2 linked regions of the Astyanax mexicanus genome follow. The protein of the gene in region 1 binds, or shares a complex with, the protein of each later gene. Links are inferred from orthologs where the notes say so. Each region holds a gene or a part of one and is shown on either strand. Other genes may lie near its edges.

Region 1 (17,261 bases):
CTTCACCTACTTGAGTCCACACTGTGTGTCTGTTATGGAGTCACAGTTATTGAAGCATGACTAGCTAAAATACTGTTCACTGTTATATGTGTGAACAAACATACAAATAAACCCAATAGATTATTAAGGTCATGTTTATTTATTGTACGATAAATCGATAATTGCAATTACTGTGACATGCCTAGAGTCCGTCATCAGAAGAACACTAAACTACAGTGGTGAGCATGGCACAGTCAAAAGGAGAAAGTTGCTGCTTTCCAAAAAGAACTTGAGAATGTGGGTCATGCAGCAAGACAATGACCCTAAGCACACAAGTGGTTTTACCAAAGAACGGTTCAAGAAGAATAGAGTTAATGTTTGGAATGGGACCAAGTCCAAGTCCTGATCATAATCCAGAAGAAATGTTGTGAAGCAAAAAGGAAAAAACCCAACAGCATTACAGAGATGAAGTTGTTTAGTATGGAGGAATTGGCTAAAAGTGCGGGATTAATTAACTGTGACCGTAAACGTTTTTTTTGCCACTCATGTATATGTAACATTGGATCATTTTTCTTAATAAATAAATGTCCAAGTCTATTATTTTGTCTTGTGTTTAATTTGATTAACCACATCTATGTTTAAGACAAAGAAAAACAAAAAGACGTACAAACTTTTAAATACTTTTTTAAGAGGTCATCCCGAATTAACTGCACTGTAGAGCCATTTTATAATCTTTACAGCCTGGTCACACTTTGCAGGTCTACAGGGGATAAATGCTGAGCTTTCAAAAGAAAGGCTTACAGTTATGCTCACCTTGCAGCTCTGTGAAGGGCATCAACATTACAGAAAACAAGCAGATTACACAAGCTAAGCACAAAGGAACCTTCTAGCTCAGGAAAAACTCCAGAATCAGCTGATATCTCTAAACCAGGGGTGTCCAAACCAGAGCCATAGAGAGAGAGAGTTGCGTCAACTCCGTTCACTCCAATGGACCAGTTTTTTACAGCAATGGCGGACCGTGGAGCCTGTCAATAGTTCCCGGAAGTTAGCAGCAAATACTATCAGCACAGTGAAGCTGGAGCAGGATACACCATGTGTGGTCCACTTTTACAGGTTAGTACGCTTAAATAATCTGATTGTGTTTTATCAGGACATCAGAATCAAACTAACATGTGCACTGAAGCATTTTAGTGAATTAACCCCCTCTTAAAAAGCAGATTTAGGGGAGTAAATCTATGCCAGGACAACGCGAATACAGTTACTGGCATTTAACATTAATGACTGAGAGCCTATTAGTTGTAAATTCCTAAATATCTTAATATCTTATATATCCAGATAGACAATGCTGACCTAACTAAGTAAATATCTAATATATCAATATATTATATATTCAGATAGACCATGCTAACCTAACTAAGTACATATCTTAATATCTAATATATCAATATCCTATACATCCATGCTTAACTAATTAAATATCTTAATATCTTATATATCCAGGTAGACCATGCTAACCTAACTAAATATTGTAAATATCTTGTATGTCCAAATAGACCATGCTAAGCTAACTAAATAAATATCTTATATATCCAGGTAGACCATGCTAACCTAACTAGCTAGGTAAATAAAGCTTAACTCTATTCATTTCAGAAAGAACTTTAAACACTAACAAGAGATAAATGCTTAATAAATACAGACTACTGTGGAAACTAAGTACTAAGTAGTACTGCAGAATTTAGCTAAATGATAGCTACCTATTGCTCAGGTAGCTAACGCTAACTAGCTATCTTACTGTTTGTCTTAGTAACTACTAATTTAACAGAGATATGATTTAAGGTGATATGACCAATATTTATTTTATTATATATGTTTGATTAAGGATATAGGCTATATTGTCAACAGTAGGGAAAAACACTTTCCAATGCATGTGTAATTTAAGATAGCATAATTAGTTATGTTTAATAGTAGTGCATCTCAAAAGAAATGTTTAATATTGTTTAATTAACAGTCATCTTTTGTATTAATTATGCTTACAGTGACACATCTAACAATTTATATTTTAAGTTTTAAATTAAATATTTTAGGGATTTATTATTTCTGTTTTTTTCATGAGCTTTTAGAAAAGTAAAACAAAAACAGTTTTGGGATATGTCTCTTTATATGTAGTGATTATAAAATTTGACAGATTTTTTTTTATTAAACTATGATAGAAAAAAATTCATTATATTCAGGTTTTCTGAGATGCACTAGTAATAGTGTGCCAAAAACAAACCCAATAAATATAAGTGTGTGTTAATGTTTGTTTTATATAAATATAAAATAAGTAAATAATGAATACAAAATATAACAACTTTAATACAATCATCTTTCTTGTCTTCATTTTATATTAAATAATAATAATAATAAAATGTAGATAATGTTTCCAAAATGTTTAATTGTATTCATATATTAAATGCAATCATGTCTCAATTTCCTTATTCTCTTCCTGCTTTTGTATTCCCCAGGGTTCATTCTTCCGAACTACACAAGTAAACCCCATTTTATGTAATCTGTGCTGATTCTTTGGTTTATTTACATGTGCAATGTACTATTTTCCTTTAGTTGATTTACATGTGTTCTGTACTTTGTTTTTCTGTATGTAGCCTCTCTATATTCTGATATCAGTCTTTAAAGTTATATATCATCTCATGTTTGTTGTAAAAATAATAAAGCTGTTGCAAATAATGTGGTTCCTCTTTCTTAATCCAAATAATTCTGCATGAAATATTCAGGTGGTGACTTAAGAATATTTGCAGATCTTTGTATCCTTTGATTAAATTATTTTTGCAGTAAACTCTAAATATATGCAAGCCAAAACTTCTCCATCTTCTTTTGAACCTAAAATTTTACTTGTAGCGACTGCATTTGCACAGTGTCATGAAATTAATATTAATTAACATACAAATTTAGCCTATAAAAACTCTCTTATGGATTACAATATTGGATTCACACAGAATAACATAAGCCTTAAATAAGTCAATATATGGTCACAATAATCCTCAATGAATTATCTATGTATAATATATATATATATATATATATATATATATATATATATATATATATATATATATATATATATATATATATATATTATTTCATTATACATAGATAATTCATTGAGGATTATTTATATATTATTATTAGTGCCCCAAAATCGCAATTCTGTCTCTGTGTTTATGGGCTCAAATTTCCCACCAAGAACTTCCTGGAACTATCTGAAATCTCCATGAATCACGTGACCATCAAGGATTTTGAACTTCCGTTGTCGCGACTCTCTCTCTATGGCTCTGGTCCAAACTACGGCCCGCGGGACATTTGCAGCCTGTTTCCTTTTTTGGAATGGTCCGTGAGGTATTTTAGAAATAAAATGAAAGTTGACTCGCTATTAATCAGGTTTTTATAAATGTGAGATTTAAAGTTTAAACGCAAGGTGTCGCTATCTCATAAACCCAAATTTAAACGCTCATTATCTCCTTTCCTTCCTTTATTATGCCTGCATTAATGTTCCTGGCTTTTGAGAGAACATGGCAACTCCACAGAAATGGAAAATCGACAGCGAATTTAGAAGATTTCAGATGCATTAGGAAAATTACTATTTTGAACTAGAGTTCAGAGGGAAGTGTGTTTAATGTTTAATCTGTCAGGAATTAGTTGCCGTAATGAAGGAGTATAATATTAAAGAGACATTATGAAACAAAACATCAATTTGAAAAATCTTAATTTACACAACACTGTCAAAAATAAAGATAGTCAAGTCAAGTAAAATGGTGTGTAAATGATAGTAATTAAAATATATATTATTATAAGTAGTAAATTTCATTACTTGATTTATTACAGTCTGTAAGTCTGTGGCCCGTGACTGCACATATATTTCTCCTTCTGGCCCCCAACAAGAAAAGTTTAGCTTTTGGAAAAATTAAAGCATTATTGTTTGAATATTATTATAGTTATTGATGTTTTATTATAGTATTATAACCTGCAATGCTGACTCAAGCAGTTGAGCTGATTAGGTTTTGGGAGAAGCTGCTTCTTTCTGCACAATTCCCTCATTTTCTTTACTTTGTACCTTTTTATCGGGTGAAAAAATACCAACAACTCCAAACTGAAGGTAGAATAAAGCAGAGAAGCTAAATAAACTTAAGATTCTGAAGTATTCTCTTATTCAGAACATCAGTAAGATGATCAGACAGAGCTTGTCTGAATTTCTGTTTAAATTTATCTCAAACTGATCCACAGACTGTTGGTCCACCAACCTGTTCCACTGCACCCACTAGTGGATGAAGATAGGAGCACACTTTAACAAATATAACAAACATCACTCAATTTCCTTTGCCCCAAATCATTTCATACAGAGGAAACATGTGAAATTCTAACTATACAATTACCATTTAAGTACTTCTCATTATCTGGATTTTGCTACAATTTTGGAAGTGATTTTTTTATTTTATTATTTCAGGGATGCACCGAAAGTTCAGCAACTGAAATTATTAGGCAAAGAATGGAGGAACAAAAGCACTTTAGGTGTTCAAGTCAGAACATATAATATAGAACAATACTGTGCTTTGTTACTATGTCTGATGGGAAAGTTACAAATGTTATTGTGCTCAATAAATATGTTTAAACTGTAGTTTTGAAATTACTTTATCATTTAGGCTATTTAAATTATGCAAGGTAAAAAAAGGCAAAATTATTAAGAACTGACCAAATTTTTGGTCACTTTTAAAAGTCCAAATAAAATGCAACATCTATTGTTCTTGGTATACAAGTATAAGCACACAATATGGCCTGAGGACATTTATTATGAAGGCCACAATAGCAGCTTAGCAACAACGGCTAACAGCTAACTGTCCGAGCTGAATTAATAGCTGTTTTTTAATAAGAGGTCGATGTCTTTGTGCTGGTTGGATTAGTAGGTTCTGTGGTTTTTATTGCTGCTGGTATCTAAGGCTATGTTTACACAGCAGGTAAGAGTGTCCCAAATCCAATTTTCTGACAAATTTGATATTTAGTTGAGGCTGTTCACGCAATCTTTTTAATTTGACATCTGTATGAACGTTTCTAGCTTTGTAAGTGGCACGCAGTGCAGTGCTTCACGTTAAGTTTCACTTTAAAATATATATGTTAAGTTTCAAAGGTTTTCACTCACATGTACACCTGTACTCTGTGATTTGACAATATAAATATTGAATCTTGAATCTTTATTTGCAGCAAAAATCTTAAGAGCTATGAATGAGTTCAGACTGCAGCTGAGTTTATCACTGAGAATTCAGTCCAGCTCACTGAATAGGTTTTTTAACCACGGTCAGGATTTTATTTATTTATTTTCCTTTAAAGCTGCAGCCATGATCTATGGCCAATTTATTAGAAACAAATTGTGACTGCGACAAGAGGCGTCTAATAAGCCGTCTAATATTTTTAAAGAAATGCATTCATCTAAATGTAATAAAAAAAAATAAATAAATAAAAAATGTCAGGTTCAGTGTGTTATTTTTTTTGCTGTTTACACAGCCACACAAAAAACACACCCGAGTCTCATTTGATGCAATAGATAGGATTTTGGGCCACTTTTACATTCTTTGTTAATGTAGCCTATTTATGTCATGCTATGATTTGGTGATTGCGGTTACCTCACTGGTGAAGGATTTTATTTATTTATTTTCCTTCAAAGCTGCAGCCATGATCTGTGGCCAATTCATTAGGAACAACGTGTGACTGCAACAAGAGCCATCTAATAAGCCATTCAATATTTTTAAATGCGTTCGTCTAAAGGTAATAAAAATCAAAAAATAAAAAAAAATGTCAGGTTCTGTGTTTTTTTTTTTTTTTTGCTGTTTACACAGCCACACAAAAAAAACACCTGTGACACATTTGACGCAATAGATCGGATTTTGGGCCACTTTTACCTTCTGTGTTAATGTAGCCTATTTATGTAATGCTATGATTTGGTGGTCGCGGTTACCTCACTGGTGAACATGGCACAGAAGTAGTCGCTGCAGGCGGCCAGGACGATGCGGTGGGCGGGGAAATCTGTGTTCTCCACCCTCAGCGTGATGTCACACAGCGTGTTGCTCTTCCTCAAGGCGTTCATGGCATTTAAGATGGACTTGGCATGGGAGTTGGTCATGATGTCTTTGGGCGCCATGGCAACTGGCGAAGGGGGAGAGCGGCACGTCCACAGGCAGTGCAGGATGATGGAGCTCGACTCGGGTCTGTGATCACAAAACAACACAGACTAAGAGCTCTGAGGATAATAAATACACTCACACACATGATTAATGGTAAGAATAATAACACATACTGAGACGTGCCTCTATAACAAACATAAAAAGACATATGCAATTAAAAGTTAAAAAGGCTACAGGTAGATTTTAAATGCTCTCTGAATACAGTTCTAACTTTGTGTACACTATACTACCAGTACTAACTGCTCCTATATGTGCTCCTATCAGTAAGGCTGATAAGATAGACAGTGATGATAAATAACATTGGACATAATATTCTGATACGACTGTGTGTATGTACAAATATATCAAAAGCAAAACACATTTTTCTAAAAGCCATAATGACTATAAATGTTTAAATATTAAAATGTAAATGTTGATAATATAATTTGTGATGTTCTACGCTGTTCCCTGTTTCAGCTGCATATATGCCCCATTGTAAATGTATGTATTTTAGTAGAATGTAAATATATTAAAGGAAGTTTAGTTGGACTGGAGTTTATCTGGAGTACTCTCGAGTCTCTGCACGGATCATCTTCATACTAGGTTACATACGTCTGCTATGTTCTTGCTGGAGTGTGCGGGGCGTATGGTGTGCAGTTGTGATAGATCACAGTATAAACCAATAGGGTGTCGAAATGATTTATGTTTATACTTCTCTACATCCAATCACAATCAGATTCACTCTATCTGGATGGAGAGATTTATCTGGATAGGGTTTTTATTGAACGATGAGAAGCCGGAATGAAAACCAGCTAAAATGATTTATTTTTTTCCATTTTTTTAAATCAAATGTAAGGAGTAGACAGTTCAGATAATTGTGTAAAAATGTAAGAAGTAGAAGTAAAAAGCCAACTGTATAAATACAAAGAAAAGAATGCATCAGAAAACAATGGAAAACATTGCAATGAAAAACATTTAGTTAACTTCACAGTAAACTGTAGTAATGACACAAATCTCATGAAAACACTGAGAAAATACCAAGAGTGTGCAGATATGTCCTTAAAGATAAATGTGCTACTTAGAGGAATCTAAAATATAAAACATATTCTGGTCTATTTAACACTAAATAATTCAGCATGTGTTTCTGTATAGCTTTAATACAGTCTTCAATATTAAATTTACAATGTAAAAAAATCATAAAAACAGAAAAGCAGTGGCTAAATTTGCTGAAATATTGCTTAAAAACATGAGCAGATAGCAATGTGTAAATTAGCTAGCTACCTAACTAACCTTTCTAAATATATATGAAAATAACAAACATGTTTGTTCACACAAGTTGTGAAAAAGCACATTATTTCAAGAGCCTAGATAAAAAATTACATTACATTAGAAGTAGATATAATAAATCATAGTACTTTTACCAGTTACATTTGAAGGTAAATAGTTATTTTTTTACTTTTACTTACTGAAGTGAAGGAATAAAGAAAGGACTTTTACTGTAACATGAGTAATATTTTACCTAATTTAGCTTAGCTAGTTAGCTTACATATCTCTACCTGGTGCAAATAGTGCTAACTAAGCTAAGCTAGCTAGCCCAAGTTAGTTAATACAGCTAGATATCTTAAAACAACCCACGTCACTATTTATTACTATAAACTGCCTTTATAAAGTTAAACCTGCGGAAATTCCTGGTGAACATGGGCACTCTTTAGTAGCTAACATTAACTAGCGAGATAGGTAGCATTTGTGCTAGGTTAGCAAGCTAACAGGCTAACTGGCTAAACACCGTTTCTGGTCATTTAAGCTAAGCTAAGCTAAACTAAGCTAGGTATTACCTGGATCCAGTTACAGTTAACAGTAGATACTCCACCTAAATATCTACACAAACTGAACACCTTTCTGAATATATGAAAGTAAAATAAGTATTTTCCCCCCAAATATATGAAAAAGAATATTATATCCACAATCTTGATTAAAAAGATAAAGCTACTTTATTACTTCTACTTGGGTACTAAAGTGGGGGAATAAAGAAAAGACTTTCTGTTACAGGAGTATTATTTTACCTAGCTTAGCTTAGCTAGTTAGCTAACGCTAGCTAACCTATCTCTACCTGGTGCAAATAGTGTTTACTAAGCTAAGCTAGCTAGCTCAGGTTAGCTAACGTTAAATACAGCTAGATGTCTTAAAATATCTAACCAAACTATGTATTATGTATAAATTAGTATCTATTATTATATTAGTGCTAGGTTAGCAAGCTAACATGCTAATACTGTTTCTGGCAATGTAACGTTAAATGAGCCAAGACAGTTTTTACCTGGATCCAGTTAGCACCAAAGCTAACAGTAGATAATTTACCTTAATATCCACACAAACTGAACACCTTTCTGAATATCTAAAAGTAAAATAAGTATTTTTGCTCCCAAAAGTTATGTAAAGGCACATATAATAAAATCCAAACCCTGGTTAAACGTACCGGCAGCAACAGCAGCAGCGGAGGAGTGAGACCAGGCGAGCCGGGGCTCCGTGTGCTGTAAGCGGTTAGTCAGCGCTGCAGCGGCCGCCCACAGAGCTTCATACTCCAGCCACGCTCTCAACCTCCGCCCGGTGCTCAGAAAACCACTAAAACAAGGCAGGAACCGGCGCCCTAGCTCTGAATACTGCAGCATATATATATATTATTCCCCAGTTCTCGCTGAACGCGCTGAGGTTTGAGTTTTTTAAGTTATTTAGTTAATTAAAAGCTGAAGTTACTCCGGCTGTATGTTTTTAATGCAGGGCTCTCACGTCCCTCAGCAACACGATGGCAACCAAAACACTGATACGCCATCACGTACACGCCTGACGTGCTGACGGCGGCTCTGGTAACGCCCACCATAATAATAATAATAATAATAATAATAATAATAATAATAATAATAATAATAATAATAATAATAATAATAATAATAATGATAATAATAATAATAATAATAATAATAATAATAATAATAATAATAATAATAATAATAATAATAATAACTCAGTATAGTTCCTAGGATCCTGCAAAATTCCTTGTTTTACGTCGTATCCTGTAGGTGGAGTAGCGTTTAAAACTGGAACAGTTAAAAAAAAAAAAAAAATAATAATAATAATAAAGAATTGTATATTGTAAAAAATTCTGATAAAATTATGGTTTAAAAAAGGGGTGTTTTTTTATCGTGGTAACATGGTAACAATGAATTGGTTAGCAGCTTACAGCTGGTAAGTATCCAAGAAAATAAAATGAGCTTTGGGAAATGGATTTAAAATAAATGTCAATTTCCGAAGCTAGAAACTAACTAGCAAAAGACACAGAAACACTTTAACTGTTTAACTATTAAAATTAGAAGTCTTTTCTTAAGAGAAAATACAGATGAAACAGTGAGTACTGTTTCCTACACCTTCACAAGACTCGTTGAAAATGGTCTGGCTGACCCACATGGCAACAGCTTTCGCCTTTAGCTCAGTTTCAGCAGGGAGGGAAGGGAAGACTTTCTCTTGAATGGATTTTCTTTTGTTTTTCTAAATTGTAGTTTTTCATGAAATCTGAATTTCAGGGAAGATAAAAAATATATTTCGACTATTAGATTAACCCATCAGATGTTTGATAGAAACTAACAAAAATATTTTTTACTTTAGCAAATGAAAAAAAAATTGTTTTCTTAACTGACACCGTTACACTGAATAAATTGATAACATAATGTAAAGTGATTGGCCAATGAGACCTTGGTCTACGTTTGCGCCCTCTGGTGGATAAACTAGATAATCCTATTATCACATTATTACACATACAGAGGAATATTAACCTTCACTATGAAGACGCTTGTTGCTGCATGTTCAACTATTAATAATAATATTTTCTCTTAATATTTCATAATCATATGGTCTCTGTATTGAGCGTAAAGAGGTAAAGCTTAACTTTTAGTCCAGCCTATCGCTGCACAATATCACAGTAATTATTATAATAATAAAATTTAGAAAATGTTTTAAAAACAGAACAACAATAGTCCCCATAACTGATTTAACATGTCTGCAACTCTGGTTCAACCACCAGCTTCTGAATATACAGCTCTGGGAAAAAAAGATACCACTTAAAAATGATGAGTTTCTTTGATTTTACCAAATTGAAAACCTCTGGAATATAATCAAGAGGAAGATGGATGATCACAAGCCATCAAACCACCAAACTGAACTGCTTGAATTTTTGCACCAGGAGTAAAGCAGCATAAAGTTATCCAAAAGCAGTGTGTAAGACTGGTGGAGGAGAACATGATGCCAAGATGCATGAAAAACCAGGGTTATTCCACCAAATATTGATTTCTGAACTCTTAAAACTTTATGAATCTGAACTTGTTTTCTTTGCTTTGTTATTTGAGGTCTGAAAGCTCTGCATCTTTTTGTTATTTCAGCCATTTCTCATTTTCTGTAAATAAATGCTCTAAATTATAAAAGATTTTTATGTGGAATTTGGGAGAAATGTTGTCTGTAGTTTATAGAATAAAACAACAATGTTCATTTGACTCAAACATAAACCTATAAATAGCAAAATCAGAGAAACTGTATCTGTATTTGGCGTGTTGGTCTGGAAATAAGGTGTATTCAGGAGTATTGCCATCTTGGCCACAGAAAACATACATGGAATGATTTTTTTTTTTTCTTTTTTTTTTCTTATTAGCTACCAAGGCAGTTTTTAAGCATTTCTTTATAGTAATTTCTTCATTTGAAAAAAACACAATTTGTAATTATTTGGTCAAATTGTTTTTTTTTGCTTAAGAGATACATCTTGACCAAATTATTGTACAGGAAAACATCAAACATCCAAAAATGTATATAAGAAATTTCAGTTCACAAAGTGTATTGGTCACAAGAAAACATTTACAGCAGATAAAGACATTCACATCTTATTCCTATTCCCTTTAACATCTAAGAAGTGGGACATAAACGTCCGTAGAGTCCAGAACCTGTAGGTATCACTCCAGGACACGGAGAGTGATCACCCGGCGGCGTAGAGGAGGAGAGAGGTAGTGCTGTTCAGCTCTCAGTGCAGGATGACTCTGAGATGAATCTGAGTCTGTTACGATGGACGTTCTGAACCGTGCACAAACATTTAAAAGGAGAAATCTGGTGTGAAATGGACTTGGGTTGTAGTGAAACATAAAAATGAGTATGAACTTTTGTTGAATAGCCCATCTCCATTTTTCCCCTGCATTCAGAAATACAGCGCTTTAGCTGATGCTCCCAACATGCTTACAGTACCAGTGATAAGGGCATAGAGTTAACCATTGAATAGGAAGGATAGGGGAACAGGATTGGAAAACTAATTTCCGTGGAAATCCATTAATATGATATAGATATATTTTTAGCAATTGCTGGAATTCATGCATGCATTTCCGCAAAAATATATATTTTTTCAATCTGTTCCCCTATCCTACTTATTCGTTGGATCGAGAAAAAGTGTACAAAAATTGTTTTAATAAACTAAATGAAGGTACTGTGTGTATAAACAGTGTTTTAAACAAATATCTGTGCACTCTTAAAGCTCTCAGTGCCTCGTTTTAAATATCAGGGCCCTCAGATTTCTACCAATGAAGTGTGAAGCTACTTTGAGTTTGTTAATGCTATAAAAACAAAAAAGCCATTTCTTGCATTTGCATGAGTAACGCTATGCCCCTATCACTAGCACTGTAACTTTGCATTTACACTAGAACGCATCCCGTGTTTGTCCTTGCAGGCGTTTGTCCTTGGGTGTTAAATCTCAGTGCATGCATGTATCATGGTCCAGCTTCCAAAAAAAAAAAAAAAGAAAAAGAAAAATTGCATTGCTTACAACTGCTTTGTATTGGCCCTACAAAAAATATTATTTATTAAATGCGTGTTTGAATTAAATATGTATTTGGTAACTAATGTTAGATCACTGAAATGGTTACAAATAAATTGATTTTAATAAAACATGCTAAATGTTTTTTTTATATTTAACATTTACCAGGCCTGTCACGATAACATTTTTTTGTGCACAATATATCGTCCCAGAAATTATTGTGATACACGATATTTGTCATTTTAAGACCATTAAATGCCACTGATATAAATATAACAGAATGGAATGAAAAAAGCAATCATACCCTTTTAAAGACAACAAAATTTAAATTAATCATAGTTTGGGAATAATACTTATTTCTTCTCTTACTGCAGTTCACACTGTGTGGGTGAAGTCACAGTTATTAAAACATTGGTCAGTTTTTGAAGCAGTATTGACTAAAATTCTGTTCACAGTTTTATATATGTAAACAAGCATACAAATTAGCACAATAGACGATATCACAATTATCAAATATTATTAAGGTAATGTCTATTTAATGTACGATAAATCGATAATGTAATTATTGTGACAGACCTAACACTAACCATCCAGTCATTTTTAGTCGCACTTAAAAATATACATTTTGGAGGGAAAATATGGTATAAATATGAGGAATCGCTTGGCCACTTTATTCTGCAGAAATGCGAAAGGAACCAAAAGTTCCAAAGAAATGCTAAAAACCAGTCGGGTTAGAATGTCGCTTCAAAGTTGAGGAAATTGTCGCTTGTGTTTTGCTCGACACTCTGCTGCTTCTCACGTGTCGCAGCAAGAAATCGCACCCTATCATAGGAATGAACAGGCACCTGTTGCTTTGTCGCTTTCCAGTGTGAACGCAGGATTAGCCTGTTGGGAGCATCGGCTAAAAGCGCTGTATTTTGAAATACTGGGGGTAAATAGAGATGGGCTATTCGACAAAAGATCATACTTGTCATCATGTTTCACTACAGCCCAAATCCATTTTATACAAGATTTCTTATTTAACTGAGCTCTGACATTTTTTATAAATCACAATTTTTAAGTAATCATGTTCTGTAAAGCCTCATTCACACACAGTTTGATTTTTACAAGTAAATGTCAAGTTTTTAAAATGACTGAAACTGACTGACTGTGATGGTGAGCACTAAATAAAAAAATATCAGAATCAGAAGTAAGTATGTGTAAGTATGTGGCGGTTTGGAGCCGAAAGGCTGGGGAATTATGACGAGAAATTTTGACAGACACTTTATGGAGTAGTCATTTTACATTTAAAAAGTATTTTTAAGTCTAGGAGCGTCTGAGTCTTCTATGTTCCATGAAGAAGCATAACTACACTAAAAGCCCTCAATTTACCTCAATTTATCTGTTCATCTGTCCTATCCATTCGCTTCATCTCATAAGTCGACTTATTGAGGTACTGTTTGTATAAACAGTGTTTTTAATAAACTATCTTTGCACTTTTAAATCTCTCAGTGCCTCGTTTTAAATATCAGGATCCTCAGAATTCTAGCAATGAAATGTGGAGCTACTTTCAGCTTGTTAATAGTGTAAAAATGACCATTTTTTTGTATGGGTTACTCTATGCCCCTGTCATTAGCATTGTAAGCCCTTTGGGAGAATTGGCTAAAAGCGCTGTATTTTAAATACTGGTGGTGGACGGAGGAGGGCTATTCAACAAAAGTTTGTACTCGTCATCATGTTTCACTACAACCCAAGTCCATTTTATACAAGAGTTCTGAGATTTTTATAAATCACAATTTTCAAGTAATTATGTTCTGTAAAGGCCCTTTCACACACAGTCTAATTTTTACAGGTAAATGACAAGTTTTTAAAATGAATACACAGATAATTATGGTGTCAGAAATTGACTGACTGTGATGCTGAGCACTAAATAAATCAAATCAAAATCAGAAAAAAATAGAATCTTATACTCGATCGATGTGGTGGTTTGAAGATGAAAGGCTGGGGAATGATGGCGAGATCTTTACAGACAATTTACACACATTACAGGAGGAGTAATTTAAAGTTTAAAAAGTATTTTTAAGTCTACAAAAGAAGAGAACTTTACTAAATGCTCCCCTCGTTAATGAGCACTTGTGTGGAGGAGTTAATTATGCAAAAGTGGACAAGGAGCAGAGAAACAGAAATCGTGGACATTTATCAAGAGCTGTGGAGTTTTGTTATTCGCGTCTGACCAAAAAAAAATGCGTGAAAAAGTGTGAAAGGGCTTAAATACTCTGTAAATCACTTTACAAACTTTATAACTTATTCACTAGAATAATTTAAAAGAATTAATATTTGATCATGGTTCAGTGTGTGGTCGGCGGCTGGTCTGGTGGTCGATGGCTCTTTCCCAGCTGTGGCTGATTCAGGGAGCCACAGCTGGATCGAGGAGACAGGGGAACGGAGTTGTTTTAGAGCAGGGAATTGTCGGTGCAGCCGCCTCCCAGACCGTAGCGGAACTCCTGCAGGTTGGAGATGCCGTAGAAGTGGATGAATGCTGCAGCCACAACCAGTACATGGAATATCTGATGGGATTGAAACTGTAGGAAAAGGAGAGGAAGAGAGAACGAGTGAGTGAGAAACAGAAACTGGGTTTTTAATTTTTTTTTTTTTTTTTTTTACCCAATTTTCACATAATTTTATCAGAGCCAGTTAATGCCATGTTTATAATACACAATTTTAGACCAGTTTTCCATTCGCCTACAGTTTTTTGGTAGATGTGAACTACTAATAATGCTTTTTTTTGTTGCCCTTGTGGTTTTATTATTACTCATAATATATTAAATGAGTTATTAAAATTTTCTTGCACTTAAAAACTCAGATTACCATATTTTTTTCACTACGAGGCCCACTTAAAATTCTTTAATTTCACCAAAAATCGTCAGTGCACCTTGTGTATGAATTCTATCAGTCAGGTATTAAGGAGCAGTAAAGCCACTCTACTGAAGTACAGAGTTATACAGGAGTTTCAGTTTAGTTCTCCAGCAGCATTAACATTACCTGCTAAGCGCTAGCTCTTTGGCCGTCCAGAGGTGAGTATTATCTGCCTGTAGCCTGCTGCTAACCCTGGCTAGCACTGCTGGAGCAGCATTAGCATTACCCACTAATTGCGCTAAGCGCTAGCTCTTTCACTGTTCAGAATACTTTATGTTATTCTATAATTCGCATAATACTTTTTAATTATAAATAGATAGAAAAATAGATTTTTGTATTAATCATTTAAATTGATTAGTTTAAATAACTATGCTTTTTTCAAGTAAAAAGAAAAAGTGTCAAAAAGCCTGATAAATAGCGGGATTCATTATTATTATTATTGATCATTACAGGCACTAAAAAGTGCAGAAGCACTGCACCGTTAAAATAGCAACTGCAGCTGGGTCTAAAAGGGAATGTCAAGTAACACACTGATTGGTTAATTTCACATTAAGCCCAAAACACTCCCATTATTAATTAAGAGAATTAGTACATGCCTTTTGTGCATTTCGAGCTGCGCAAGGTTTACTTTTCCCTTCATTACGATAGCAAAGACACACTGACACGCCCTAAGTCAAGCTGCACGGTGCACGCTTAACAGCTCACCTATATATAAAACTAAAACAGGGCCCTGAAAATGTTATACTTTTAAACACTCTGCTTTAAAAGCTTACCCAGATGTCACATTTGCCAGGGAAGAAGCGTTCAGGGATGCGTGCAGCGTAGAGTCCAGCTCCAGTTATGTACATGGCGCCCATCAGGATGAACCAGCCCATCTGGCCCACTGTGGTGGCCTTCACAAAGCCCTCAGCGATGGTGAAGTGCATTGTGGGAATGACGCCGCTCAGCCCCAGGCCAAGAAACACACCTGTAGATACAAAGACGACTCACATTAATCCCATGTGTACGAGTTACACACAGGGTTGTGTGTATATTATCCACACATGTGGGCTAAAGTGTATGTAAAGAGTGTGTGTGTGTGTGTGTGTGTGTGTGTGTGTGTGTGTGTGTGTTACCTGCACGTGTAGGCCGGTGGCGCGGCGTGGCGAAACGGTCCCACTGTGCCACAATAATGGCAGAGATGCCCAACACACACACCACAGAGAGGTAGATGAGCCGTGGTTGTGGGGAACAGTAGAAGGAGTAATAGAGCCACGGAACAAACGAGCCCATTATCAGCAACGCTATTCCAGAGTAATCCAACCTGAACACACACAAAAAGAAACAGGACGTTTATAAATATGTTACCTATCTTATCCCAAAGCACAGGGTAATGCATGTCAGGCACAGACTCTTTAAAAGCTGTGTAAAGTTCCCTACAGAACTCGGTCTATCCTTTACTTTAACTCATAAAGTGACATATAACCTCCTGAACATCCTGAGAGCATCACTGCAGAACAGTGTGTGAATCTGTGTTCCTTAATATCACCTTATTAAAAGAATGTAGCTCCTTTTAAAAGTCTACATTTTGCCTCAACCCACCATTTTAACAATTAACATGCTTCAATTAAATGTTTTATGTTCCATAAAACAAGCTCTGACCTGAATTTTATAACAAAATGTAAAAAAAGGCATTTATGTTACTGTTTTAACTGTAAATATTTACATTTGTGTGCCTGCAATGATAAGAGAAAAACACGAAATGATCTTGCTCACTGAATTTGGCAGATTTTATTTTAGTTGTCGGAGATATTACAGAGCTGCTTTATTCTACAGATTAAATATTGCAAAAGCCATTTTCTGCACAAACTCATAAAATGATCAGAATATGCAATCAAATATTAAGGAAACATGTTAATATTGGCAATGCATTTCATAGATGGAGAAACTTGGAACCCAGAAGGACTACAAGACAGGTGCAGAGCTGTTTGTTTTCTTCTGAACAGGTTAGCACCACGGCTGCATCTATCAATTATTTTAGTATCAAGTATTCTACTGAAAATCCTTCAATTAATTGAGTAATCAGACAAAATATATTTAAAAAAACGCCTAGTTAGCACAGAGCTTCAGATAAGATAAGCTAACGTTAGCTTGGTGTGCAGCTGAATTATCAGGGTGTGCAGTGAGTATTTGAGATAGGTAAAGGTTGAGCTGCTGTCAGTCACGGTGGACGAGCGGACGAGCCACAGCTTATTTACTTACCTTAGATGCAATGGGAATATAGAAATAAATAGACAGAAATCAAAATTCTGACTTTATAATAGCTCAATTTAGACACAGGTGTTATTATACGCTGCCATGGACTT
Region 2 (16,116 bases), on another chromosome or scaffold:
CTGAAGGCATGTTTAATAGCGATATGCCCTTCAGAATCTTAATTCTAATGGCATTTCTTTGTAAAACTTTTGAGGCCAAAAAGACAAAGGCACAGAGCCGCTGCACTTCTACATCATTTATTATCAGGAAGGAAAGAATAGAAAAAAATTATGTAATGCAAATTGTGTAGCCTGAATATGTATGTCTGTACTTACATATTGTTACTGTCTGAGAAATAAGTAAATAAATAAAAAATAACCCTTATATCCAGCATTTTTAATTAAAGTGTCGAACCTCAAGAATTTCAGCTAGTTTGAGACTTCAAAACTGGGATTAAGCCTGGGATTAAGCCTAGTTTTGGGCTACACATCATATTGAATGCCGATTTAAAGGAAAGATAGTCTAAGTCTAGGCTTAATCTCTGTCTGGGGAAACCAGAGCTAAATGTAAATGTAAATGTAATTTTTTTTCTTATTTTTACTCACTTATGTGATTTTTTTCCGTTGACTTTCTTAAAACCTTTAGTTTGTAGAGTGTATGTGTCTTCACACACACACACACATATATATATATATATATATATATATATATATATATATATATTGTTTATATTTATGTCATAAACTGTGGGTATAGTGTTCGCTAAAGTATTTTAAGCAAGCCAGCTGTTAAGCAAGCCAGACTGTTAAAGCCATAGGGTTTTTTTTAATTATTATGATTTTGCTGCTAAAGTTTTGCATTTTTAGTTAAGACTAGTGTCTTTAATACGAATAGCACTTTAAGCTCCACCTTGTCCTGTAGTAAAGAGGCATGCTCAGAATTATTTTAATTCATTTATTTATGCATGTATCATTTATTTATTGACATGCATGCCACATTACATACTGCCAACATTCAACTGCAGCCTATAGGAATGACAGGAGATGAAAAGAACATGAAAAGAACAGTTAAAGTCAGCTAAATTAATTTGGGAATCCACATCCACAACTTAAACTTGTGTGGTAAGCTAGCTAACAGTTAGCTAGTAAGGTAGCAATAATTACCTGTAATAATGGCCAAGAGTTTATCTAGCTTGCTAGTTTGCTAGCACCATCTTGAGATAGCTAGCAAGCTAACTAGCAGCTAAGCCTCTGTCTGTCATAAACACATCAAGCTACACGAGATAAGTGAGCATCTAACAAGTTATTACTGACCTATTTATTCTAGGAACAAGCTAGCTATTTCTAATAGCTATACCAAAGTTACATAGTGCAGTAGCAGCAGTGGAATGACAGAGACTCCATACATTCATATAACACGTCAGTGTACCATTGCTACATAAAGTTCTATGAGACTACATACAGTACATACTACTGTATATACAAACATTTTACTATATAAAACTAAACGTGCACTGACACATAGATTGGTACAAAGTAGAAGAAGTTGACAGAGTGGAGCATTAAACTTTAAAAGAGCAGCTGCTTGTGACAGTGAGGTGAAAATGTACCCAATTATTCCCCACAAGGCTCCCTGGAACAGTCTGCCAATAATCCCTACACATACACCCACAGCACACTGCGCTGTAGCCATGGCACCACCAGCCTCAGGTAGAAAGAAATGATGCAGCGTAAACACAAATCACACTGTCCTCTCACCTGCTCTGTCCTTTCCCTCATGGCCTGCAGTGATATTGTGCTTAGTACTCTTTGAAGTATGTCTCTGGGTGTCTCTCTGTCTCTCTCTCTCTCTATTTCTTTTGCTCTCTCTTTTCTTTTTACTTTCTCTTTTTCTTTTTCATTCCATTGCAGTGGGCATATACGGGGGTTAGACAATGAAACTGAAACACCTGTCATTTTAGTGTGGGAGGTTTCATGGCTAAATTGGAGCAGCCTGGTGGCCAATCTTCATTAATTGCACATTGCACCAGTAAGAGCAGGGTGTGAAGGTTCAATTAGCAGGGTAAGAGCACAGTTTTGCTCAAAATATCGCAATGCACACAACATTATAGGTGACGTACCAGAGTTCAAAAGAGGACAAATTGTTGGTGCACGTCTTGCTGCCGCATTTGTGACCGAGACAGAAAGTCTTTGTGATGTATCAAGAGCCACGGTATCCAGGGTAATGTCAGCATACCACCAAGAAGGACCAACCACATCCAACAGGATTAACTGTGGATGCAAGAAGAAGCTGTCTGAAAGGGATGTTCGGGTGCCAACCCGGATTGTATCCAAAAAACTTAAAACCACGGCTGCCCAAATCACGGGAGGATGTCAGGACAATAAATTATGGTCTAAAACCAGGTGTTTCAGTTTCATCATCCAACCCCTGTAGAAATCTTTGCTTAAAGCAAATCAGAATGTCTCAGGTTTCACTTGTGGACTTGATATTTGACCTTTTGTGTTCCTTTATTGGAAAAAAAAAATCATTTTAAAGCACAAGTTCTCATTCTCTTCTGTTCTTACCCTTTCTCTCTTGCTTACTCACTTGTACAAATATTGTAGGAAGTAGGACACACCCTCCCACACACACATTTACATTCAAATATCATAATTTGCATCTTTGTGGCCAATATCATCCCAGCTGCTTGCATCTTATAGCAAACGTTGAGTGTTTTAAAATTGTGTCCATATAAAATAATGCCTAACACAAAATACAGACAAGCAAGCATTAATACATTTTCTTAAATCTTTTTAGTAGAAAAATAAAAAAGTTAAAAATACTAAAATTCTAGTGAGTGAAGCTACATTATACTGACATGCCAAATGTCACGGGATAGCAGTGTATAAATTGATCATAAAGACTTTTGACTATTGGTGAAGATGGCTTTGAAAAGGTCACACCTGTATACTGTAAGTTGTAAGGGGATCTCTTGTGAGTAAGACTGAACACTGGCTGGCATGCTTATGGCATTTATTATACTTTAAATGAGGCCTGACAGTGGAAATATGGGAAATTTACGGAATATGAAATATTTAGCATTCCTCATTCACAGTGTGTACACACTCCTCTGTACTGGAAATGTGTCACAGAAGGCATTAATACCAGCAGTAGAGAGGGCAGTGAGTGGTACTGATCATGACCGGCATTGACTGACTAGAATTGTCCACACAAACAGAGCAGCAACTCAGAAATGTCAACAATCAGATCCACACACATATCCAGCCGGTCATTGCAGCATTCTTAACTTCCATGGGTCATGCCAAACGACATTAGATCTAATAATGGTACCTGTCCCATGGCTTTTGACATGTGATTACAAAATATTATATGACCTTTTTTTGAGGAATAAGACACATGACCTGATAGGTATGCACAGTTTCATTTGCTTAAAGAAAACAAAGGCATTCCTTAGGCTATTGTTAAAATCACAAAAGCAAGAGACATTAGAACATTTTCTACTCCTTGCTTTTGCTTTTGCAGCTGCTCTGGTTGGCAATACAATAACAGTGTGTTGTTGTAACTCTTTGATGGTGAGAATGTGTTGACAGACGGGTTTTAAAACTCTTTTACTTTCTATTCAAAGTGAAATTTGGATTAAGTTTCATTTTGACTCTTTCATTTGACTCTCATCATTAACAGAAGTAAACATCTCAGTTTTTTTTTATTCAAAGTTGTCAAACTGGATATGGAAGCATCCACCCACCTGTCCTATATCGCAGAAAGCTTTGAGAGATCAGAGACCAGGTTAGTTTGCATCAGGAACAAACACTGGAGCTTTGTGGTTGTGCCCTCATCATGTCCTCTTTCAGAACCTTATAAAGGTAGGATTTTCATATTTTATGCTTTGTCATTTTAAATTGGTAGAATTTACAGTTCTGTAAACTGTAAAATGTAATGCAATGGTGTATTTTATATTGTTATCCAGCAGACCTGTTGCTATAGTGTGACTTGTTATAGTTGCATTCAGTGACAAGACTCTTGATGCTGAGTGCAATGAAATTCTCAACACAATGCTCCAAAATGTAGTAGAAAGCCTTCCATGGGCAGTAGAAACATGCTTTTTCTCCAACAAAAGCATGATCAATCCTTTTTTAATACATTAAAATATTTCAGAAGCAACAGTGAATAAACAAGTGTCTTGATAGTTTTCCCCAAACAGTGTATGTTTATTAATGATCTACAGAAAAAAAAAGCAGAGAAAGAAGTTGTTAAAAGGATTACAGAAATATATTTTTTTTCTTGTGGGTTTTGAGGAATCACAGAGCTGCTCAAAACACATTATCTACAAAATTAAACGCAGTAGTGGGATTGTGTTGAGCATTAAAGGAGCATACAGATTAGTTACTTATTTTCCTTTAGTTTAGTGGAAAAGAAAACATAAAAAAGGGTTTTTGTTCTCTTTTTTTAGTTTTTTAATAAGGTGTCTGAGAATGCCACCCATAAAAAAAAGTCGATTGGCAACAGAGATTAGATGTCCGGATCCTTAAGAAAACATTTTGTAGAATTTGAAGCCGAGCCAAAACAACGTCTGTCAGCTTGCAAGTCCAGACTAGCATTTGTGTTTCACACAGAATGCCACAATCACTTCCGTCTGCATTCTAAGAAGCTGTTTTCCTCCCACAGCTTTCAGACACAGCGAGGTAAATACCACTTTTAAATAGTTATCCAAAGTTACTTCATTGGAAATTGCTGAGCACATAATGTCCTGCCGCACGCTAATAGACGCTCAAATGGAGACAGAGTCACCCTTGTGAATACTAAGTGTAGACCTGTTGTCAAGCACAAATAAGGCACAAACAAGGAGAAACAGATCCCCCTCCATCCATGCTTTCTGCTAAAGCAGAGCCAGCCCCATCCCAGCCTCTGGGAAATCATCTGACATTGTGAGGCAGAGACAGCGAAACAGAAACCTAGAAGATTCGGAACTTGAGATGCATCCCACTTCGGCTTTGAGAAAGATTTTAATTGGATTCAGTATCCTTGATGTGTGTCATGAAAAATAAATAAATAAAATAGAATAAAATAAAATAAAAATGCTAGTGTGCTTAAAAACAGAAAGTCAGAGAGTGGAACCTATTGCTTATTATTTTTAACTGAACAAGCTTTAAGCATGGCTTATATGTTTTTTGTTCCATTTTTGACACATAGCCATAAGATACACAACAACTAAGAAATAGTCTTGTGTGTGATGACTTTGGCATGTGCTGTAGAAGCTGAAGACACAGTATTGACCTGTAGGATATGCTTGTGGGTTCTCCTGTAGTTATTTCTGCCAGAATTGCTTCTAGCCAGATGCCACCGATCATGACAATATCACCCACTGTCCTGTCTACTGTAGGTGGTAATGCCTCACTCACTCATCCCATGCCTTTTGCAATATCGGTGTATTAAACACTTTATATCTTCCCTTGTATATGTACTGTTTCATCTCGAAAATTACAGCACAGTGCACTTTAGCTATGCCCGTTGATTTCTGCCAGAGTTGCTTCTAGCCAGGTACCACCTGTCATGATCATTACCACCCACTGCACTGTCTACTGTGGCTGGAATGGCATTCTATGTCCTCACTCACAAGACAACTTCACTTTTTGCATGTCAGTATATTATAACATATATGTCCCATTAAATGTATCAGTTCATCTTCAAATATAATGTAATGCGATGTAATGTAATGTACTGTTGAAAATGTTGAAAATAGTGTGGTTGCATAAGTGTGCGCACCCTCTTATAACTGAGGGTGTGGCTTTGTTCAAACAGGTATCAGTACACACCTACAGTCATTTAATGTGTCTGTGATTAATCCCAAATAAGTTAAGCTGTTATAGTAGGTGTTCCCTGGCATTTTCTTAGTCACCACTTACAGGAAAAGGCACGGTCCACAGAGAGATCCCAAAGCATCAGAGGAATCTCATCGTCAAAAGGCATCAGTCTGGAGACGGGTATAAAAGAATGTTCAAGGCATTAGATATACCATGGAACACTGGTCAGGGAGGCTACCAAGAGGCCTACAGAAATATTAAAGGAGCTACAGGAATTTCTGGCATGTTGCTGTGTTCTACATGTGACAACAATAGCCTGTATTCTTCATACGTCTAGGCTATGGGGTAGGATGGCAAGACGGAAGCCTCTTAAAGAAGAAAATCATCCAAGCCCAGCTAAAGTTTGCAAAAACACATGTGAACTCTCCTAAAGGCATGTGAAAAATATGTTATAGTCTGTAAAAACAAAGGTTGAACTTTTTGTTCAGACGTGTGAACACTTTTTATATCCACGTATATTAGTGGCATCTGTTTCAATGATAAGAATTGGCCATGTAAAAAAGCGATTGCCCCCTTAGTTTAACTGATAATGAGGTTTTGTCAACTAAACACAATCAGGATTGAATGCAGTCAGCCTTGTTTATCATTTTTATAATGTACAGCAGTTTGAGCAGTATATTACACCATGAACAAAAGAAAAAGCTGAAAAAATAAATGGTTACAAAACCATTATCACTATATGCACTATAAACAACTTTATGGGACACTTGCTACCCTTCGTTGTTTCCTCCCAAATTAAGGTTATTATAAATCATTTATCCTGCTTTTGTTGCGAGTAACTGTTTGTACAGTCCAGGGAAAGCTTTCTACACAAATTTGGAGCATTGCTTTAAGGATTTGATTGCTTTTAATGTGAGGTCAGTATAATTGGATTATCACCCCAATTCATCCCAAAAGTATTGGATGGAGGAACAGACAGATAGATGGATGGACAGTTTAATACCTATTTCATGGTGTTAGAGTAATTCAAACTAATTGCAACAAAAAAATCGCAACAAAAAAAAACACTTTATATCTTCCCTTGTATATGTACTGTTTCATCTCGAAAATTACAGCACAGTGCTCAGATTTTATAGTGATCTAAGTATATAACATTATATAATAAAATAATATATTTAAACTAACTAAATTTTTTTTCTACTGTAGGAGCTGCTGTCCTCTGGCTTAAAAAATGAACTGGACAAGCCTGGAGGTTCTGCTTGGTGGAGTGAGCCAATACTCTACGGTTTTTGGGCGTGTCTGGCTCTCTATGGTCTTCGTCTTCCGTTTTCTGGTGTTTGCGGTAGCTGCGCAGCCGGTGTGGGGGGACGAGGCCAAAGACTTTTTGTGCAACACAGCCCAACCAGGCTGCACAACAGTGTGTTACAACAGCATTTTCCCCATCTCTCACGTCCGCCTGTGGGCTCTGCAGCTGATCTTTGTAACCTGCCCATCTCTCTTGGTGGTGGCCCATGTCAGGTATAGAGAACAGAAGAATGAGAAGTACAAGGCCTTACATAAAGACGGCAAAGCCCTGTATTCCAACCCTGGAAAGAAGCGTGGGGGTCTGTGGTACACCTACCTCCTCAGTCTGATATTCAAGGCATCCTTTGATTGCGCCTTCCTCTACGTCTTGTACCACATCTACGGATTTGACATGCCCAGGCTGTCCAAGTGCAGCCTGTTTCCTTGTCCCAATACAGTGGACTGCTTTATCTCCCGTCCAACTGAGAAGAAGATCTTCACTTACTTCATGGTGGTCACTTCTTCTATGTGCATTTTCATGTGCATCTTAGAGATGATCTATTTGGTGTGCAAGCGTGCACATAAGCTATACCGTGAGCACAAGGAGAGAGAGCTCTTGTATTCTGCAGAACAGAATGAGATTAATGTTGTTTCTCGATCTAGAGCTAGGTATATCAGAGTGGACCCCACGGCTTCGTCCAACCAGAACCTCAGCAACATCAAGAAAGAGGAGGCCACTGCTGAGATGAGTGCTTCTGTTATCTGAAAGTTCGGATTTAACATGACAGACCATAATTAAAGATTATAAAGTTAAGTTAATTTTTAAAAAGACAATACTCATGCAGACGCATGTGAGGAATACCTAATAACAGGATTGTGTGACTGCTGCTCAAAAAGAGATTTCTGTGATCAAGGGTCCACCTCATGCTGGCTAAGACCTCCGCAGTAGTCTCGGCTGTGCTGTTAGGCTAATGTCTTTTTATACAAAAAGAGCTTCATCATTTTTTGTTACATAAAATCTTCCATGCAGTTTACCTCAGAATGTAAGGTGAAGGCCCCTGCTTTCTTGCTAAAGGTACCTACTGCCCCCTGGTGCACACATAAGAAAATAATAGAAAACATTTTAAACATTTTTCAGAAACATGTTTATATAATCCCTCTGGTGATTTCTGATTTCTGTGTTTAGCCAGATAACTTAAACTGAAATAAAGTCTATACAGTAGCAAAAGACATACGGTTTTAAATTATCTGACTGAATGTGAAGTCCTGTTTTGTGTAACACCAAATAGTAAACCAACAAAATGCTAAATTCACTCAAAAATCCAGAAAAACAATATTTTTTTGGAAAATGATGGAATTATTGTGTTTATTATTCAGGACTGTATGTTTACAATATATACAAATTTAAATGCATGTACATATGTATGTTTTGTAAGAAATTAATTATCAATAAAAAAAATTATTTTGTATAAGAACTTGTGCTCTGTCACTTTATTAGGGTTAATACCACACATATCTTTCAGATGGTGTACTTTGGTCTTTGATGGTCAAGCTGATTAAAAAGATGGTAAACATTTTTTTAGGAAACTTGGAAGTTCCTGTGGATATAGCAAACTTAAATTTGAATGTATATATATATATATATATATATATATATATATATATATATAAATATATATATATATATATATATATATATATATATATATATATATATATATATATATATATATATATATATATATATAATTAAATAAAATATGGTATGGAGAGGTGTAGTAACCAAAAATATGTGCCATAGAGGTTTAAAAAGTTTTTTTTTTATCTTCAGCTACAAAAATAGAGAATTTAAAAATAGTAATTTCACTCTTTCACAACAATGAAAACCACAAAATACAAAATAGAACATGTGTGAAATATTTTTATTCAATTAACAAACATTTAAAATATATATATATATATAAAACATACACACAAGAAGTGTTCTTACACATAAGAACATACTAAGAAGTGATACAAGCTTTAACCATTACATAAAAAATATCACATCATCTTTGCTCCTCTCCTCATATTATTACGAAAGCCTATTCCTGCCACTAAATTAATAATTTAAAAAAATCAGCTCTTTTTGTATTATGTATTATTATGTAAACTGCTATCTCATTATTTTGAGATACTATTTTAAAATATTAAGATAGTAAAAAAATAGTTTGAGATAGTGAGTAATTATTTTGAGATAATATCTCATTATTTAGTAATTACTAGTAATTACTTTGAGCTACTAAGTCACAACTACTACCTTAAAAAGTATCATAAAATAATGAGATTAAATTAACTTTTACTACTATTACTCACATCACAGTGTGTAGTTTACACAGACCTGTACCGATACATGTTGTGGGGAAATCTCGTTATTTCTGTGTAGTGAGCATGACTCACGGTGTAGAACGTCATCAAGTTTCCATTATTTTAACCAATCAGAGGGGAGAACTGCGGCGCTGAACATGACAAACAGTGAAACGGACCAATCCGGGCGAAGGGGCGGGTCCTTAGTGACGCAGTCGTGGGCAGGCTGAGCGAAGTTCTCCAGCGAGATGAGTTTCTACGGACAGGTAGAGAGGGTTCCGGGTTGGGGAATGGTTGTTTTTACATTTCCTCAGTAGATTTAGCTTTAAATACTTTAACTTTTAACTCAATAAAAGGCAGATAAACGCCTGTGTAACTAGAAATAGGCTATTTACCGTAGACTTGAGCTGTACTTAAGCCTGGCAGCTAATTAGCTAGTTAGCTATGCTAGCTAGCTAGTCTGTGCTGTAGTACCAGGACATGCCCTGAAATGTAATTTAAGGAAACTAAAGACAGTTTTAACTAGTTTATGTTGTCTAGATGTGGAACTGGTTGTGACTTTTCTGAAACGAGTGTATAACAATGTATTTTCATTTTGTCTATAAACATGCTTGCTTTTCCCTAGCTTAGGTTAGTGCTGGGCGGTATGACCAAAAATCTATATCACTGTTTTGACGGTGTTACAGTAACTTTATAACACGATATTTTAATTGCAAGACTGCTTTTTTAAACATATGTTTGTGGCTAATGCTGCCTTCAAGTCGTGTCGAAAATATCGTATTTAGGAGATCGTATTTAGCACATGAAGGCCACCACAAACTCGTATTTACCAGTGGTAAACTTAGTGTGATTTTTAGATAAGCCCAGAGTTTCCCAGTTGGGGGCGTGTCAGTTACAAGAGATAAATAAATTAATAAATAAATTTAATAAATTGATGCAGATAGTTCATTTTGTAAACTGCTTAACACTTAAACACTTTCGGATTGTTATTAGCTGACTAATTAAATCACTAGCAATTTGTAAAAGAACGTAAAAGTCTAGTATGATTTACGATTCTAAAGGGATAAAATCATCATTCTCTTGATATGTGTCCAATTCGCTTCATTTTCTTGAAGTAGGGCAAAGTAAACCTCCTGTATTTACCATAATAGACCAAAAGTATAAACTAAAAGATTTTCCTAATATATTATTATTCCTATTTATGACCTCCAAACTCAAAGGTAAAACTTATATGGTCATGAATATTTGCCTTGAAGCAGTGGAAACGTCATGGAAATGTATTGGTTTAAAAGTGTATGAACGCTGATATATAACAAATATTTAACAAGGCTTTAAATTAAGGCTTTGTTTAGTGTATGTGGTTTATTTTTTCCCACAAAATGACACATTATATGAAAGAATCAGTCTGCATTTGCAGAAAACAGATACAGAATATAAACTATTGAACTATTGTATAGAAATATGCCAACAACCTTAACACTGCTTCCTTTTCAAAACTAGCTAAATCTCTTAACACAGTTCTATACACACTATAAATGGACCTAAAACACTAGATATTCCAACAGATGTTTCTCAAATGTTCTATTGCACAAGGAAGACACAAGTTTATTATCAGTTTACAACATGTTATGTTTGATGTCAAGGCATTAAAGTATTAAAATGGCTGTTTATCAGTCACAATTGCCTTGCTTCTCCAGCTAACAAATAAAACATCACACATTTCAAACATTAATATTGTCCTTCAAGCTACAGTATTACAGTATTTAAAAAGCTATACTGCTCTTTAAGTCTTTAAGTGATTCCGGAACCAGGACCCATTCTGGGCTGGTCAGGGGATTTTTTTTTTTTTTTTTTTTTGAGCTGTGGATCATTTGCATAATTCCACTCGTCTCTTTTCTAAATGAATAATTCTTCCACACAGCACTTCCGCAGAACATCTAGCAGTATGGTGGTATATAAAAAGTGCACACCGTAAGGGGAAATTAAAACCGGTTTTCTGTATGTGTTTTGTATGCCTCTATATGCACGACAGAGTAAAAAAAAAATTTCTTTTTCTGACAGAGATATCCAGGACCAGGGACTAACCCTCCCCATCAGCATCCAGGAGCCCCCTATGGAGCTGGTGTACCTCCAGGTGGTCCCACAGGAGGGCCCTATGGAGGATCACCTGCAGGTACCCCATACGGTGGGGCACCAGGTGGACAGTATGGTGGTTCTGCCCCTGGAGCACCCTATGGAGCATATGGTTCCGGTGGACATTTCGGAACAGGACCTGGTGGTGCACCTGGAGCACCTTATGGGCAGGCACCAGGAGGTCCCTACGGAGGTTATGGACAAACTCAAGGAGGACCATATGGCCAGCAGGTTCCAGGTAAACTTTTCATGCTGTTTAAAGGAATATTAATCATGTTCAGAACAGGCTTAGCTCTTTTATAATGGAAATCCATTTGAGTCACTTGAGACCTGTATTGGCATGTCATGTTTAATTTTTTTAAACATAAAGCTATATTTCCTACCTCATTGTTATTATCACACTGCCCTGGGCCCTGATCTATCTTCCAAATTTTTTCCACTTGTTCATCGCCATGGCAGACAGCAGATCCTGTCTGAACTGGCTGATGATGTCTGTGTGAGCATCAAGGTTATGGGCACAAAATAACACTCGCAGCCTCAACCTCTCCATCATGTTTGCAGTGGCCAAGGGCTGTGCACAAAAACGAAAAAAATAGAATTTATGAAGGTGCTGCAGACAAGGTCCTTCATCCCCTTTACTGCAGCTGTGTCATCTGCCCCTCACTGAATGACTGATGCCTGACTGCTGTCCAGAATCTTGGCAGCTGCATCTTATAAAGATCTGGTTCAGGTTGTGCCTGTAGCGGAATTAGAGTGATGGGCATGATAATGCTTTGTGACTGTGTGCGAGAGATTATGAGTTTTTCTACAGTGGAGAGTGTGTAATATTGTGTCCTGTGGGGCTTGAGTCGCAGGATGGCTCTTTAACACAATCATTATCCTTCCCCAGGGAGACACAGCCCATCTGGGTTCATCCCAAACTGACAGGTCTGAGTCCCTCTTGGGGCCAGAATATCACAGAATATCATTGGGGCATGACCATCACTTCACTGACATCTGAGTGTTTAATTCTGTTCAGCTCTGCCACACACTCTTATTAGCCTAACCAGGTGTAACCAGAGTGTAAATTGTAAAAGATGGCCAATGTTAAGTTTGTTTTTTTAGAAAACTCATATCTATTCAGATCTGTTTGAGCTGTTCATTGGTTTTTTGTAGCTGCCATATGACAACATATCTTGAATGATTTTGGCATTCCAGGTAACATGCCACCAGGAGTTAACCCTGAAGCCTATCAGTGGTTTCAGACCGTTGACACAGATCGCAGTGGCCACATCAACCTTAAGGAACTGAAGCAGGCCCTCCTCAACTCCAACAACTCAGCCTTCAATGATGAGACCTGTTTAATGATGCTCAGTAAGTGCTGCTTTAAATGTTTTAATATAGTCAAATTCGCATGCTGTATTTTCATTGCTGATTTGCATATTTTTTGGTCAAAATATTACTATTTTTTGCTAGTACTGCAATAAAACAGCTTATCGATATAGGGGAATGATAATGATTTATGTTATTATAATTATTATTATACTAAATTATTATTTATTTCTCACCCTCTTTTTTTATAGACATGTTTGACAAGACCAAATCTGGCCGTATGGATGTATTTGGCTTCTCAGCTCTATGGATGTACTTGCAGCAGTGGCGAGCAGTGTTCAATCAGTTTGACCGTGACCGTTCAGGTTCCATCAACAGCAGTGAGATGCACCAAGGTGAGAAGGAAAAACTGTGTATTGTTTTCCCAGAAATTAACTAATTGCTTATTATTAGCCACTATTTAAATGTGCATTAGAGGTGGGTGCCATGTCTATAAACATGTGCTAGAGGCCCATTCTCAGCTTTTTGTCTTTTTTGTTTGTGATTTTTTTTTTTTTTTTGCTGACTGCGGGGCACAGCCCCTCCAACCGCGGCTCTCCCTCGTGCAGGGCACAGTCAATATAACGCTAAATACGGGCTGTAGCTATTTCACACACTCGCTCTCAGTTCCTACAGAATGTACCTTTAAGTATAAACTCACCAGACCAAAAATGTATTATAGATGTCCTTTATTTTCTAATACTTGATTAAGTAATATTGTTTCTCTAATTTTATTAAATTAATTATCATTATGTATTAAGACATGTTTACATGTCTACTCAACAGTCTGATGAAAATCTCAGTTTGCATGCTCTCTACAAGTATTCCAATTCCAAATGAAGCTTGTGTGTAGAGTACCACTTAGTGTCCATTTTGCCATGACTGAGCTTATGTGAGTCCAGTGAGAGTAAAAGGAGCTGCAGTTTGGCCTGTCAATATATCGTCCTAAAAATGTTGTTATCGTGACAGGCCTAGCTGCAGTGTTGTCAGTTGATGTGTTTGTTTTTTAATTGCTTCTAATTATGTTGGAGTCAGAAAAAAAAATGTACTTCACATAACTTTATTAGAAAAGTGGCAAGAGAAAGAGATATTTATGTCCTGCAGCAATCAACAAGCAGCAATTCAGCACATGTGCTGAATGCCAGTTCTATGACACAAAACCTGAATGGGGTGTCCAGAAAGACTGGTGGACATTCATGGTTTAATGTCACCTGAAGGAAGATTATCTTGCCCCCACATATCTTGCTCTTACATACCCTACTCCAGCAATAATAGACTTTTTTTGCAGAACATACAGTACTTTACAAAAGGAATGTAATTGGATACAGGTCTTTTCATGGCTGTTATTCTTCAATTTAAAGGATTGCACACAAATTTTGTATTCAGAATGGGCTTGGACAAGTGTTTTCTGACTGTGGTATAAACATGAATGGATTGTATTCAGATTAAGTTGTCCATATAACTATTCCAGGATAGTGTTGCATCCATATATACTCCCCAATATGTATATGACATAACTTGACTAAACTCCTCCTTATTAATTATTAGCAGTGATAGAGGGAGACCAAAAATAAGTTCCTGAAAATAAAGAAGCCTACTTTTCTGTTAAATAGGTGTGCATTTCTTCTGAAATTTGATGGCTTTTGAAGTTATTTTTTTGTTGGTTATTCAGCATGTCATGTATGTTGCACACACATTTAGACATATGCATCCCACACTTATCATCCTGTAGCGTGTAATAGTGTGGTTTGCTTACACATGAATCACAACATTAGTGCAAGCTTGGATTAAAATGGGCAGGAACTATTTACTTATCCAAAGTAATATTTGTTTGACAGAACTGGAACAGTCATTAGGACAAGGAGACATGCAATCATATTAGCAGGTAGTGTATACTGTACGGGAGTAATAAGTCCACTCTCTACTGCTGTTATATCAGATCTGCACTAATACATAGCAGTTGTTTCAGGTTCTTATAAGACTAATATGGGAGCACCGGCTCATATTTACTACATTTGTGTTTCTGGACCATGGTCCTAGTGATTTCAGAAGCAACAAGTCTGGCTCTAGTATTTTATAACATGTTAAAAGATTATTTTAAAGTCCTGCATTACCTGTAAATCGGATTTGTTGAAATAAAGCCAGTAATAAACTCTGCCCTATTACCCTATTGCTTAATTTATGATTTTATTAAAATGAATTTGCTGTTTATTTTGCAACCACTATGAACATTATGCACTAATCTATGAATCTCTCTTCTTTTCTTAGCACTCTCTCAGATGGGTTATAACATGAGCCCTCAGTTCATTGAAACCCTTGTGAGTCGCTACTGTGTCCGTGGCATGAATAATTCTCTCCAGCTCGACCGCTTCATCCAGGTGTGCACCCAGCTGCAGAGCATGACCCAAGCATTCCGTGAGAAGGACACCGCCATGACTGGCAACGTACGCATGAACTACGAGGACTTTCTGTCAAGTGCCATCACACGACTCATGTGAAGATTTGCATTCAGATTCCATTAGAGCTGAGTGATTCCTACAGTGAAAGAGGACCACTGACTGCTGATGCCAAATTGGCACTGCAGTTTCCACTGTCTATATCCCTGTTTACAGTGCCTTTCACTGTAACTTACCTCACCTACCGCACGTGTCTTGTATATTTGCACTGGCCTTAGTCTGCAAAGGTCTACAGTTATCGCTTAAAGTGTCCAATTAAACTAAACAGCAAGCTACAGAAACATGCTAACAAATTGCATTTAGTTTGTAATTAACCTGGGGATGTGCCATAGATTTATTCTATTAGAAATGGTACCGGTAGTGCCAATTATTTGAGGTAAAATTGCATTATCTAGTCTCTTGTAGATCACCTTTTTATTAACTGCATTATTTTAAATTTTAACTGCATTTGGGGATTCATCAGCTTTATAAACTGCATATAAGTAAACCACTTGTGCTAAATTAAGCCAGTTATTGATTGTGGGCAGGATGCTTATGCATGAACTTGGGCTATTGCAACCTTTGCTGATGTCTGAGCAAAGTGTAAGTTCTTTTATATTATTCTGCCATGTTGTTTTGAAACATTTTATCAATAATGTAAGGACCAATATTTTTTTTTTTGCTTCGTGCCAAAATATTTATGAAGATTGTTTTTTGTCAAATAAAGTTGAGTGCCAATTGGTTTAATGGAGATGTGATTTAATTGTGCTGTCTGGTTCCTATATACAGATTCTAATGTAAATGTAATGTTTGTGCTACAAAACAAATATATAATTTAGGGTTAACATGTATTGTTTACTATTTGGTTTATTTATTTCCTTTTTTGTGGGTAAACTGGGTCTGTTAA

What was found.
Region 2: the proteins of kelch-like protein 12 (region 1) and pef1 are in contact, whole or in part, in a crystal structure (PDB 8RBH), measured with the Homo sapiens proteins. The link is inferred for Astyanax mexicanus from reciprocal best matches to the Homo sapiens genes KLHL12 and PEF1. Residues at the interface, in NP_067646.1 of Homo sapiens: Phe289, Gln293, Arg320, Tyr321, Leu371, Glu417, Tyr434, Ile439, Phe481, His486, Cys511, Tyr512, Tyr528, Leu533, Cys558; in NP_036524.1 of Homo sapiens: Gly15, Gln16, Ala17, Pro18, Gly19, Ala20, Pro21, Pro22.

What each region holds. Positions count from the first base shown.
Region 1 is NC_064419.1:47,231,748-47,249,008, forward strand, and holds the start of kelch-like protein 12, read right to left. Parts: upstream 8,994-17,261; 5' UTR 8,659-8,993; intron 6,231-8,658; 5' UTR 6,164-6,230; coding exon 5,981-6,163; intron 1-5,980. Other genes in the region: adipor1b (adiponectin receptor protein 1b), read right to left, coding at 14,454-14,582, 15,690-15,883, 16,032-16,219. UniProt on the Homo sapiens protein: Substrate-specific adapter of a BCR (BTB-CUL3-RBX1) E3 ubiquitin ligase complex that acts as a negative regulator of Wnt signaling pathway and ER-Golgi transport.
Region 2 is NC_064410.1:45,603,560-45,619,675, reverse strand, and holds pef1 (peflin), read left to right. Parts: upstream 1-9,486; 5' UTR 9,487-9,539; coding exon 9,540-9,557; intron 9,558-11,352; coding exon 11,353-11,662; intron 11,663-12,621; coding exon 12,622-12,777; intron 12,778-12,986; coding exon 12,987-13,130; intron 13,131-15,042; coding exon 15,043-15,272; 3' UTR 15,273-15,960; downstream 15,961-16,116. Other genes in the region: gjb9b (gap junction protein beta 9b), read left to right, coding at 6,893-7,711. UniProt on the Homo sapiens protein: Calcium-binding protein that acts as an adapter that bridges unrelated proteins or stabilizes weak protein-protein complexes in response to calcium.